Linked DNA regions of Oryza sativa Japonica Group. Each later gene encodes a partner of the first gene's protein in a complex. Links are inferred from orthologs where the notes say so. Each region holds a gene or a part of one and is shown in the gene's direction. Other genes may lie near its edges.

The links. The genes of interacting proteins can lie anywhere in the genome.
Region 2: ribonuclease E/G-like protein, chloroplastic (region 1) and SAP-like protein BP-73 share a complex: the UniProt entries of both Arabidopsis thaliana proteins name them as parts of the chloroplastic degradosome-like complex. The link is inferred for Oryza sativa Japonica Group from reciprocal best matches to the Arabidopsis thaliana genes RNEE/G and RHON1.

Annotation. Positions count from the first base shown.
Region 1 is NC_089042.1:14,235,111-14,240,421, reverse strand, and holds the end of ribonuclease E/G-like protein, chloroplastic, read left to right. Parts: intron 1-62; coding exon 63-104; intron 105-482; coding exon 483-607; intron 608-1,095; coding exon 1,096-1,243; intron 1,244-2,673; coding exon 2,674-2,746; intron 2,747-3,556; coding exon 3,557-3,669; intron 3,670-3,793; coding exon 3,794-3,913; intron 3,914-4,408; coding exon 4,409-4,564; intron 4,565-4,660; coding exon 4,661-4,834; 3' UTR 4,835-5,189; downstream 5,190-5,311. UniProt on the Arabidopsis thaliana protein: Involved in intercistronic processing of primary transcripts from chloroplast operons. The endonucleolytic activity of the enzyme depends on the number of phosphates at the 5' end, is inhibited by structured RNA, and preferentially cleaves A/U-rich sequences.
Region 2 is NC_089037.1:4,369,935-4,376,030, reverse strand, and holds the start of SAP-like protein BP-73, read left to right. Parts: upstream 1-2,159; 5' UTR 2,160-2,255; coding exon 2,256-2,277; intron 2,278-4,745; coding exon 4,746-5,851; 3' UTR 5,852-6,096. UniProt on the Arabidopsis thaliana protein: Binds to and supports processing of specific plastid RNAs. Associates via its C-terminal Rho-N domain to single stranded regions of 16S and 23S rRNAs or to rbcL mRNAs. May be involved in targeting transcripts to RNases such as RNE or RNase J.

The DNA of each region.
Region 1 (5,311 bases):
TTTGCTTGATTTGTTTTCAAATGCTTTACTGTATTCTTGAATTACTGCCATTCTTCACTTAGGTCAAGAGGCTAGTTGTGGATTCTCCTCGCACCTACCATGAGGTGAGAAACCTTAAATCTAATCCAATTTTAGTCTAAGCTTTGTATCCATTTCCTGTGATTCATTTTCCCTTCCCATGATTCTATGCTGTGTGTTCTATGGACCAAAGGCCAATCTCTATATGTCAGTTAGTCCTGCTGTTCAAAGCAGTTAGCCACTTGGAAACCTGTCTCCAAAATGACTAATATTTTTTCAGGCGTGTATGTTGATTGATTAAGTAATGATAGTTGCGCATGCTTGTTTGCACACTAGTTTTTCCTTATGTCTATAGAACGTTCCTGGCCTACCTACTGTCTACTGTTGTATGCTATTGGACTTTCTGGTTAGGAATTACATTTTTCAGGCTTATAACTCTTTTTTTTTTGCTTATGCATATTTAGGTCACAAACTATCTCCAAGAAGTTGCACCTGAGCTCTGCAATCGAGTTGATCTTTACGAAAAAAGAACTCCTATATTTGATGAATATAAAATAGAAAAGGAGATTGACAATATTCTGTGCAAAAGGTATACTTTTTTTGTTGCATTTGTTTCTTAAATAGCTTCATTGCTACATATTCTTTTGCTTGCTTTGTAATGTTTATCAACCATTTAGCATAGAACAAAAACACATCTTGTAATATAGATTACTTTGATAAGTAATTTTGGTTTACCTGGACCTGGTTTTTTCCTAGACTACAAATTGCATATCACCATTTGACAAGCAAGGGAGCTGTCAGAAATAAGACTGCTCTACTGATAACGAGTGCCATGTTCAACATGAGCTTGTGGCTGGCAGTTGCGCTAATGGTGATTAGGCTTAGCCTAGACCTGTTCATGGTAGCCTGACCTGGTAAAATTGAGCAAGCCTGGCATGATGTGTCAGACGTGGGCCTAGATTTATAGCCCGATGAAAAAAAAAGCTTATGAACGACACACTATTAACTTACATTTCTGTTAAAGGTATAAATGATACAATTTCTGTAGTATGATATGTTAGTGCTCTTTTATTGCAGGGTTCCACTACATAATGGCGGTTCTTTAGTTATAGAGCAGACCGAAGCTCTGGTTTCAATTGATGTAAATGGTGGTCATAGTATGTTTGGTCAGGGGACGTCCCAGGAGAAGGCTATACTAGAAGTAAACCTAGAAGCTGCAAAACAAGTATGTCCCATGTTCTGTTTCGTACTGGAAAGTAGTATATTTGCTTTCAAACCTTATTTTTCTTTACTTATCTAGAATCCAATCCACCTTTTATTTTGACGTTTTACTGTATGTCTTACTCATTTACCTTTCAGCTGACTATGCTTTAATTCCTAAGAGATGCACTTGGCAGTACTTCTATTTGTCTTTCACCAAAAGTCTACCAGAAAAAAAAAGAAAAAAAAAACATGTATAGTATCTAGAACGACAAGCTGCTATGTGGGGCCATCAGTTCACGCACAGATTCTGAAGCTGCGTAGCAGCTTTCTAGGTGTAAGCAGTTAGTGAGATAGCTCCTTAACATCTGATACAACAATTTATGATTAAGTTCTTTTCACTTGAACATTTGATTTGTTAGGCTAAAGTTATAGCCGTCCTTTCATATGGGCTTCAGCATATCCATTATGGATTAAGAAAGGAATAGACGCTAGTTATCTCATCTCCTGTTCTATATTCCTCACCCCTGTTCACAGTATGATCCATAATCCCATAGTTTGTGGCAGGAAGCCAGCAGAATCCAATTCCTACTGACCGCAATCCCTTCCCTGGAGATGTAAAGCCAGAGCCATTCTGATCTTTATTTTTGGGTCCCTGCTGTCTACTAACGTCACTCAGTTAGCTATAGATCAGTCTTCTACTAGCCTATATTAATCCCGGGAAATCACATGCTCATAAACACATTTACATTCATGATACTAGTTCATTTTCTCGTTCATGATTATATATTGGTTATTAAATTGCTAGGCAAAATACTCTATTGAGTGAGCTACTCACACATGTAGCTATTTGCTAATATTATATTGATGATGCATGTTGGTTACCAAATCGCTAGGCAAAATGCCCAAATGAGTGAGCTACTCAGACATGTCGGATGAGCTATGGTAATAATGTAAAAGAATCCTGCTGTCACTCAATAGGCACCTTGAGAAAGATGGTAAAATATCTGGTGGTACATCGTGGTTCATCCTCTTTAAATTATGTTGAAATGGTTCTGAAATGTTTGAAGCATTGACAGAAAATTGATTTGTCATGAAACAAAATTCAAACAAAAATTTGTTTTGCATAACGAAAAAAAAGGATGCTTCTCCGTCTACGGAACAAGATTATAATCAATTTTTTGTGGAATGATAGATCAATGTTGGTGTCAGTCATTACTTTCTTCAATTTTTTGGGCGTTGTACTGTTACACGTGGTACTCTAGCAGTATCTTAGGGAAAGTCTTCAGACCCTTACCCCATCCATGACTCACAAACAAGCAGGATGAAATAACAGGATTTTGATAGAGCCATAGGCTAACAGTGACTCATTCATAGATGACATCGAATTCGAGTGGGGAAATGCATTTATTAGAATTTCAAACTTGAATATGATGCAAAATTTCTTGAATGCAGATTGCTCGTGAATTGCGCTTGAGGGATATCGGCGGCATTATTGTTGTGGATTTTATTGATATGACCGATGATAGTAAGATATCAACTTGTAGAATTAATTATAGTGTGAAATGGTTTTCCTCATACCTGCATTTCATCATGCCGTATGCTCCATTATGCTTGCAGCTAGCTTGTTTGTTTTTCTAAAAAACTTGTTGATTTTTTATTCTCATAGGAATTTATATCGTACATGGGTATCTTTTCTGCTGCCTGGTGTTTAATTAAGTATTTGCTAAAATTTGTCATTTGAATACAACTTTTTAACTTGTGCCTTGGCATATTGTCATGCACCTAACATGTGGTGATGTTTATTGACCTGAAATCTCACTTTATTATGTAACCCTTGTACTGGACTCTACATTCTGTACTCAAACATACATCATACCTTTGTAAGATTCAGCCAGCATATCACAACTTAAGATACAATTATAATATCTTCACAATAGGAATATTTTGTTTCTTATCTGGATATTCTTTCCATGATTTGGGAATATTTTGTTTTGAATTTATGTGCCATCAAATTAAGCTTATATATTGAGTCTTCTTGGATTTGATTGAAAATTTCTTGAGTTTTTAATTTCCTACTGTTATTAATTCATACTGCGACAGGTACCACTACCACAGTGGCATTTCCACCAGTTGTGCGTCCTTCATACTCTGTTATACTCCTAGATGATACTAATGATTGTTTGTTGTTTCATTGTGATTTTAGATTCTGACTGAGCTATGTCTGATCATGATGTTTTCCTTGTGGCGTTGTATTTGTATTCCACATTGTTGTTTTCCTTTTCCCCCTCTCTCTCCCTTCTTTTCATTCTTGGTCTAATGTAGCATTTTGCTCCAGCAAACAAAAAACTAGTTTTTGAAGAAATGAAGAAAGCAGTAGAAAAGGACCGATCAACAGTTGGTGTTTCAGAATTGTCAAAGCTGGGTTTGATGGAGATAACTAGAAAAAGGGTATGTGGGCACTTCTTCAGATGTGTGTAGTTGTCCACTATGGAGAATTCAACTTTACGAGAATATAGATACCCATCAATTAATTGATATTTTAACTGTCTATAATCTTGACTGAAATTTGTAGGTTCGACCAAGTGTTACGTTCATGATCAGTGAGCCGTGTCCTTGTTGCCATGGTATTGGCCGTGTGGAAGCTCTTGATACTTCTTTTTCGAAGATAGAGCGTGAAATCTGTCGACGCCTTGTAAGTCCTACAAACTTACCACTTACCAATCTCTCAATTATTTTTTAGTTGACATCCTCAAATCCTTGCTATTGAACTTTCTGAGATTTGACCGTATAGTTCTAGATTTTGGTTCAATACTTTCATCATATAAAATCTTTGGTAGTATATATTAATTTAACACTCGAACACTAATTGTCAATAACAACATAGAGGAGGGATGTAGTACTGTTTAAAGGAATGCACTGACCAGTATGCAGCTGATAATCTAGACAAAATTCAAGCAGCAGTAACAATCTGTTAAACTGAAACAGCTTGCTTGTATTCTTTCATGCTGATATTGGTTCCGAATATGACTTTGTTGATATTGGTATGAAGTCTTTTATTCCAAATGTTACTATATCTCCATGTAGACAACCAGAAGCTAGAACTCCATGCTATAAATAGTATAATCAGTGTTTAACTTATTTGTTATTAAAAACAAAATGTTCCTCTTAACCTTGTCTAATGGATCAGGCTGCCTCTGGACATAAATCAGACCCTGAGAAACCAAAATCATGGCCCAGATTTGTTCTTAGGGTTGACCATGAGATGTGCACGTACTTGACATCAGGCAAGAAAACAAAACTAGGGCTCCTCAGCAGCTCTCTTAAAGTGTGGATTTTGTTGAAGGTATGCTATTTGTACTTTTTCATTTGCATGTCATCATGACTCTTTAACCGTGTTGTCGTTTGCTTTTGAAACTTGTTAAAAACATAATTAATGCAGATCGCTAGAGGTTTTGCTCGTGGGGCATTTGAATTGCTACCATATTCTGATGAAAAGGAAACTGATGAGCGGAAGGAAGAGACATCAGAATCGCCTCCGAAAGAAGCAGGCAGCCCAAAACTCTCTGTATTTCCTATCAAGAAGTGGATGAGCCGTGCAAAGAGAGCGAAGTGAATCTCTACCAAAGAGATGATTTGGTTGTGCGATATGCTTTATTGTTATTCCCAGATCAAGAAGTACAGAATTTGATATGGCTCTGTTGTTAATTCTTTCCTGTGGTGATCCAACGTCAGATAGACGCCTTCCTGGTCAATGGTTTGATAGATTTTTTTTTTCCTTTTCCAAAATTTTAGATGCAAAACCACAGTGTGTTAACTATGACGGATGCAAAGAAGTAGCACGAACATTTTAGGTGGGAGGAAACTAGATTTTCTGAGGGATAGGAATTGTTGTCAGGGCATTGATGTGGTTACAGTACATACATCAACATAGTTTTATTCCATGGCCTCATTAGATTTGTTCTGTTGGATTTTTGGTGTACTTTTCTCAGTTATTTTTTATTCATTAGTAAAATTGAAATGGATTGTATTTTGTGCAAATTACAAATAAAAATTTCATGTTAAATTCTTATGCTCTACAAATACAATCAGT
Region 2 (6,096 bases), on another chromosome or scaffold:
CCATGACACATGGATGACCATAGTGAGATTAGTACTGCTGAAATTGTGTTCATCTAAGGGGGAAAGAGGGAAAGAGGTTGTTGATCAGAGTGAGAGGATGGGGAGTCTAACTGTCTACGCTCTAGTACTTCCTTCGCATGATAAGTTAATATAGTACGGAATATAATATATCCCAGTACTATAAATCTGGACATACATCCGCCAGATTTGTAATATTGTGATCTATCACATCTAACTAGATTAATTTATTTTTGGATAAAGAGAATAAGAAAACTAGACTGGAAAGCCTAACATGGGATCTTCTGCGAGAAATGTGGTTTTCTACGTGGTTTCAGCGGTTTTTGCCGCGGTTTTACGTAGTTACACGTTTGCGTCGTTATGTAAATAATATTAGGGTATCGTGTTTCCTACCAGAACAAAATAATTATGTAATATGTGGGTGTTTACTTTCCAGCTCATCATATGATCAAGCATCACGTTATATAATACTAAATGATTGATCTTTTTTATGAGAAACCACACCATCATCATTTGGAAAACCAAGGTTGAAACAGATGTTGCGGTTGTGTTGATGGATTTGGGGGTCGTGCACACGGTGATCGATAGATGCACGTCTTCACGCGCTAATTATTTTTGGTCAAGACTCAAGAGAGCCAAGTATAGAATAGCCGACAGAGGCATGTTTGGCTTAATTAGGCTGAGACCATGACAATTTTTCAGAGAGTTTGCTGATGATAATATCCGTCGTTTTAGATGCGGTAATATGGTACTTAGTAAAAAAAGGAGCCGTGGATATGATGATATTATCAAAAGAAGTGAGCCTCTTAAGCTCCGTAGACTAGTTAGTTTCCTGACATCCATTAATTTGCTAAGTCGATGATGTGGGAGAACTTAGCACCAAATTGTCTAATTTAGAGTTTTGACTACAACAGAAAATGAAGTGGCATTTTATTTTATTCCGGTTACTTTGTTTATCATTATCTCTAAGAATAATTTATTGATATATGAAAGTTATTTCAGTACAATCGTCAAAAAATATTTTCAATATTATGATTTTACTAGTTTAAAATAATTACTCGGAATCCACGCGGCGTTGTTATAGTACATGATGTGGATGGACGTGTGCGTATATATCGACACGGTGCGAAAATTGCAGTAGTTGGTAGTAGTATGTTTTAATATTTAGAAAAGTAAATAAAATATCACGAGAATAGAATTTAAATGTCTAAGTTCTGGAGATGGCACCGTCCATTTTCAAAACTTTTTCATAAACATTATGCTGATCACTGTCATGTCGGTTAGCTGTACGCCTGTACTATTTGTCTATTTTCAGAGTGTTTTAATGGCTTCTAGTACTATTTTTTTTATTTTCCTCAAAAGTAGCTCATTTTATTAATTATACTCGTAACATATTTTAGTCAAACTTTACCAGACAATATCCTAACTTCGCATTTCTAGCTATATGATACTATACGATGTGATTTTCGGAAGAATACACTCGATAAAACATGTGGGCTGACATGACACGGCCTGTCCAGTGAACCATATCTAATCGGGCAGTGCCCACTACCCAGACATGCATATTATTATTTAGGGTTATTTGTAAAATTTGTCCATATTTTTTTAATTTTGCAAGATGCTACTCGAAAGACAGTTCTAGTAGTATTTTTACAATTTTTTAGTGGCAGTGTTGCAATAATAATTAATGATTTAAACCAGTGGCAAATTTGTAATTGCCTTTATTATTTATTATCCACCATCTCAATCATATACTCCCTCCGTTTCTAAATATTTGACACCGTTAACTTTTTAGCACATGTTTGACTATTCGTCTTATTAAAAACTTCTGTAAAATATGTAAAACTATATGTATACATATAAGTATATTTAACAATGAATCAAATAATATGAAAAAAATTAATAATATTTAGAAACAGAGGGAGTAATAAATAAAATCATGCAATTCCGAATAATAAAATAAAATAAAAATCTACCATCCCAAAGGTGTCCTATATGTTCCGTTTGGAAAATAGAATTAAGCTATGGATACTTTCTTTTTTCAGATTTGCACCGTTTTGGAGGGGGATAGGATATGCAGATTGAGAGTGCTTGGCGAAATTACTAAATTACCCTCGCCGTTTTTGACGTATTGTTTTCGTGAGTTATCCGTTAGTTCGCCCGCCGCCGCCGCCGCCGATCCCCATCCATCCCGCGAGGCGCGAGCGAGCAGGGCGCCGTCGGCGCCGTCGTTCGTCATGCTGCTTCCGCCGCATCCAGGTGAGCACATCCTCCGCCACCGCCGCCTGCGCCGATTCCCATCCATCCATCGCTCGAGCGAGCGAGCGGGGTCGCCGTCGCTTGTCCTGCTGCTTCCGCCGCATCCCTTACGACGCACATCCTCTTGTCTCATCTCCCTCTCTCCACCCACGCAATTTTTTTTCTCGAATTTGCGTTAACCCTAGCTTCGTTGTAGTAGAAATTTGCCTTAACCTTAATACTAACAAATGTTTGTTCCGAAAAAAGTTTGGGGTTGGGGGGGGGGGGGTGGGGTTCAACTTAACCCCTATGTCCCATGTCAGATCCGCCACTGCTTTATTGTGTGTGGCGCATTGTCTCTTAGCTCTTTTAAGGAAAACTAACTATCGTTCTCTATGAAATCTGGCTCGCATTTTCTTTCAAAAAATCTGGCTCGCACGCACTGCTGGTGTAAATATGATGATACATTGTAAGAATGAAATATAGAGTTATTAAGTTTAGTTTCTTTAGCAAGTTATTAATGATTCATACACTGTTTATGAGTGTGCCATTTTACCCAGGTTTCCAAAGGCTGCTTGCTGGCACAGCTTGGAGAACGTATATGGTTAGAACAGTGAAAAAGGCTTTAAAACCAAATGAATTATTCTGTTTCCTGTCATTTCCTTTAAATATCACGCGATCCAAACTTCTAGCCCTAAGTGTGGTAAGAAATCACTGTAGGATGATGCATCCTCACAAGCCGTAGAGCAGCTTGGGAAAAACTGGAAATTTAAAACTGTCTTAGCTAAAGGAATTCTTGCTGTCCGCATATTACTTTCATGGTTAATTTGGTGTCAAATTACATGCTTATCAGCATTTTTAGTGCTATATGTCTGGAAGCACTATATACACAATGATAAATGAGGTAGGTAGTATAGGCTACTAGACCTCTTGTTGATGTCTAGTTCCATTTTGTCATGAATAGGAAATGCTAGTGCATCAGGATAGTGAATATTCCTCCGGGAGAGATCAGACGGTGACATCTTGAGGTAGAAGAATGATAAGTGAAATCTATTGAATAACACATGAATAGAATTTCACTCTATTAGGGTCCACTAAGCCAAGGCTAGATATGTTCTTTTCCATAGCAGCTTGAAAACACCAGCCGTTGGTTATCTGTTATGTACTATAATATATACTGCCTCTGTAATGTTGGTACCTCCATTTGTAAACATGATGGTTTGGAGATGGGTGGGGTCCCCAATAATAAAAGACTATGTGAATAACTCACCTTTTATGTGAAACTAATGGTATCAATTTCACATCACCATCTTAATAGAACTTTATATATCAGTGGTTAGAGTTAAAGAAGTATATCTGTGGAGATTCTAAATCATCAATCATTAACTCTTTGTACTTTGAAAACAGACATATGGATGTGTTTTTGTGCATTGAAAACCTGTTTGAACTTAATTAGATGATCGGTTGGTACTGTTCTTGCAAGTTTCCTTAGCCCCATTCTTCTTGATCAAGGTTTTCATCTACCTCTATCTTCCAGGATGCATTGTATTGAAAAAATGTTTCAAATCTACTTCTAGTTAGGTAGGTAGACTTCCAGCCTTTATTTTCCTCTCTTTTTGCTATCATGTTTAAGAACTCAAAGCACAATGGAACTTGTGGCTAAAACTCACAGCCTCACTGGCAGCGTGATAGAAGGCTAACTGCTAGTGCAAGTAATGCTGAGAGCAAACATTATATGAGTGGGCATGGTATGTTTTACCAGAGTAATGCGCTTGATTAATGGGCTGAAATTGTAATGAACCTTCACATGGACATGAAACAGACCAGCTGAAATTGAATGGCTTCTTCTTCCCTAAATTGCTTTCTTGATTTCCCTATTACAGCTTCCTCTGCCCTGCATTCATCCAGATAGGATTAAATTGTTAAGGCACATAGCAGGTCTACATTAAATGGCCCATACATTTTATCCAAATCTTACCCATATGGGTCAGATGTGTATGATTGTATGCTCTGATCTGTAGCGGCTTATATTTTTCCTTTTAGTTAATTGTAACCGACAAGCTGGGCTCCACATGATATTTATATGTTTTGGTAATGCAACCTTTTCGTAAAAGAGAACTATTCGTTATTTTAACATACAAACACATCCTTTTTCATTTCATTTTTTAGAAGTTAATTACGTGTGAATGATCATAGCAGGTCATGTATGTGAACACTGCTGACTCAACATGAAACTGCCACTGATAAACAAATATAGAAAGAAGGAACTGCTTATGGCACTATGATTTTTTTAAAAATTTTATGCACTTTATGTACACTTGTTTTCGCATTATGGGAATGGGGTGAAGTGGAAAAAGAAAGTTGTGCCATGGCCATCTGTATGTCCAACTTCTATGTATCTATATATCTTGTGTACTGCGAACCCTTCAATCTGAAACATTTAGTTTTCGTCCTTATTCATTACTATGCTATTGTTTCTTGGGTTTCAGGCAGAACATTACCAGCCTATCATGGAGACAACAGATTTCTTCTTGGAGCTTGTTTCCTGAGTAAACTGCCTATGCTGCGCCCAATGAAGTTGTCTTTGGTATGCAGTGCTAATCCCAACAACCATAGGTCAAGAAGTTCGGATATCACACGCCATCAGAAGGGTGGATCAGCTCGGAGGAAAAGTAAGCCTTACCAGGAGAAAGATGACTCTGAGAATATTGATGAATTCGATACTGATATTATGTCCTCCAAAAATGGACCACCCATCTCTTTGACAAGCAATTCCCGTCCTCAAGCAACATCAGTCCCAGGGGAAAGAGAGAAGGAGATAGTAGAGTTGTTTAAAAGGGTTCAAGCACAATTGCGAGCAAGGGGAAAAGGGAAGGAGGAGAAGAAGCCTGAACAAGCAAAAGCACAGGGTGAGAGGGGCAGTGTTGACTCCCTTCTAAATCTGCTTAGGAAGCACTCAGTGGACCAACGAAGGAAGAGCGGTGATGAGAAAGAACAGAGTGTTGACCAAACAAAGAGAAGCAATGAATCTGGAAATAAACAAAATTCAAGCATCTTCATAAAGAATGACACTCAGGAAGAACAGAAAAAGCCACATCCTGCAGCCTTCAAAAGGCCAGCTTCAAATTTTAGGCGAAGATCCCCTGTTCCTAATGTAAAGTTCCAGCCTGTTACCAATGTTGATGCCGAACGAGTCATCAATAACATCAATGATGCCGTACAAGAGGCTAAGCCAACTTTGGAAAATAAGGCTGCTACAGATGAACCAGACTCGGTTTCTACATTCGAACCTAATTCTGTAATAGAACCAGAAAACCTATCTTTGGATGACCTTGATCATATTTCAGATGATGAACCTGATGCTTCTGATACTGATGAACCCAGTGGAGAATATGATGAGCCATCTTTGCAAATCCCAAGTGTTCCAATTATTGATGAATCTCATGATACGACTCTGAAATCTTCCTTAGGAGGTCCTGATTTAAGCACTTTGAAGGTCACAGAACTAAGAGAACTTGCGAAATCTCGAGGAATCAAAGGATATTCCAAGATGAAGAAGAATGACCTGGTTGAACTGCTGAGCAACATGGCTTGATCCATCAGCAGCCCTGTCAACTTGGCTCTGTTTTGTCCCTTGTTAGTCACATTGTCTTGGGCATATGCACTATCTTGCCATTCCTATCTTATCTAGATGAAGTTCTTTTAGGTAGAAAACTGTAAATGAGCAAGGTAAACAATGTTCTGTTCTGGTTTTATCGTTGCCCTTTCTGTTACCTAGCCTCTAGTTACCATTGTTTTTGCGTAAATCCTTCATCAGAATTGAACCCTGGATTGGCCATA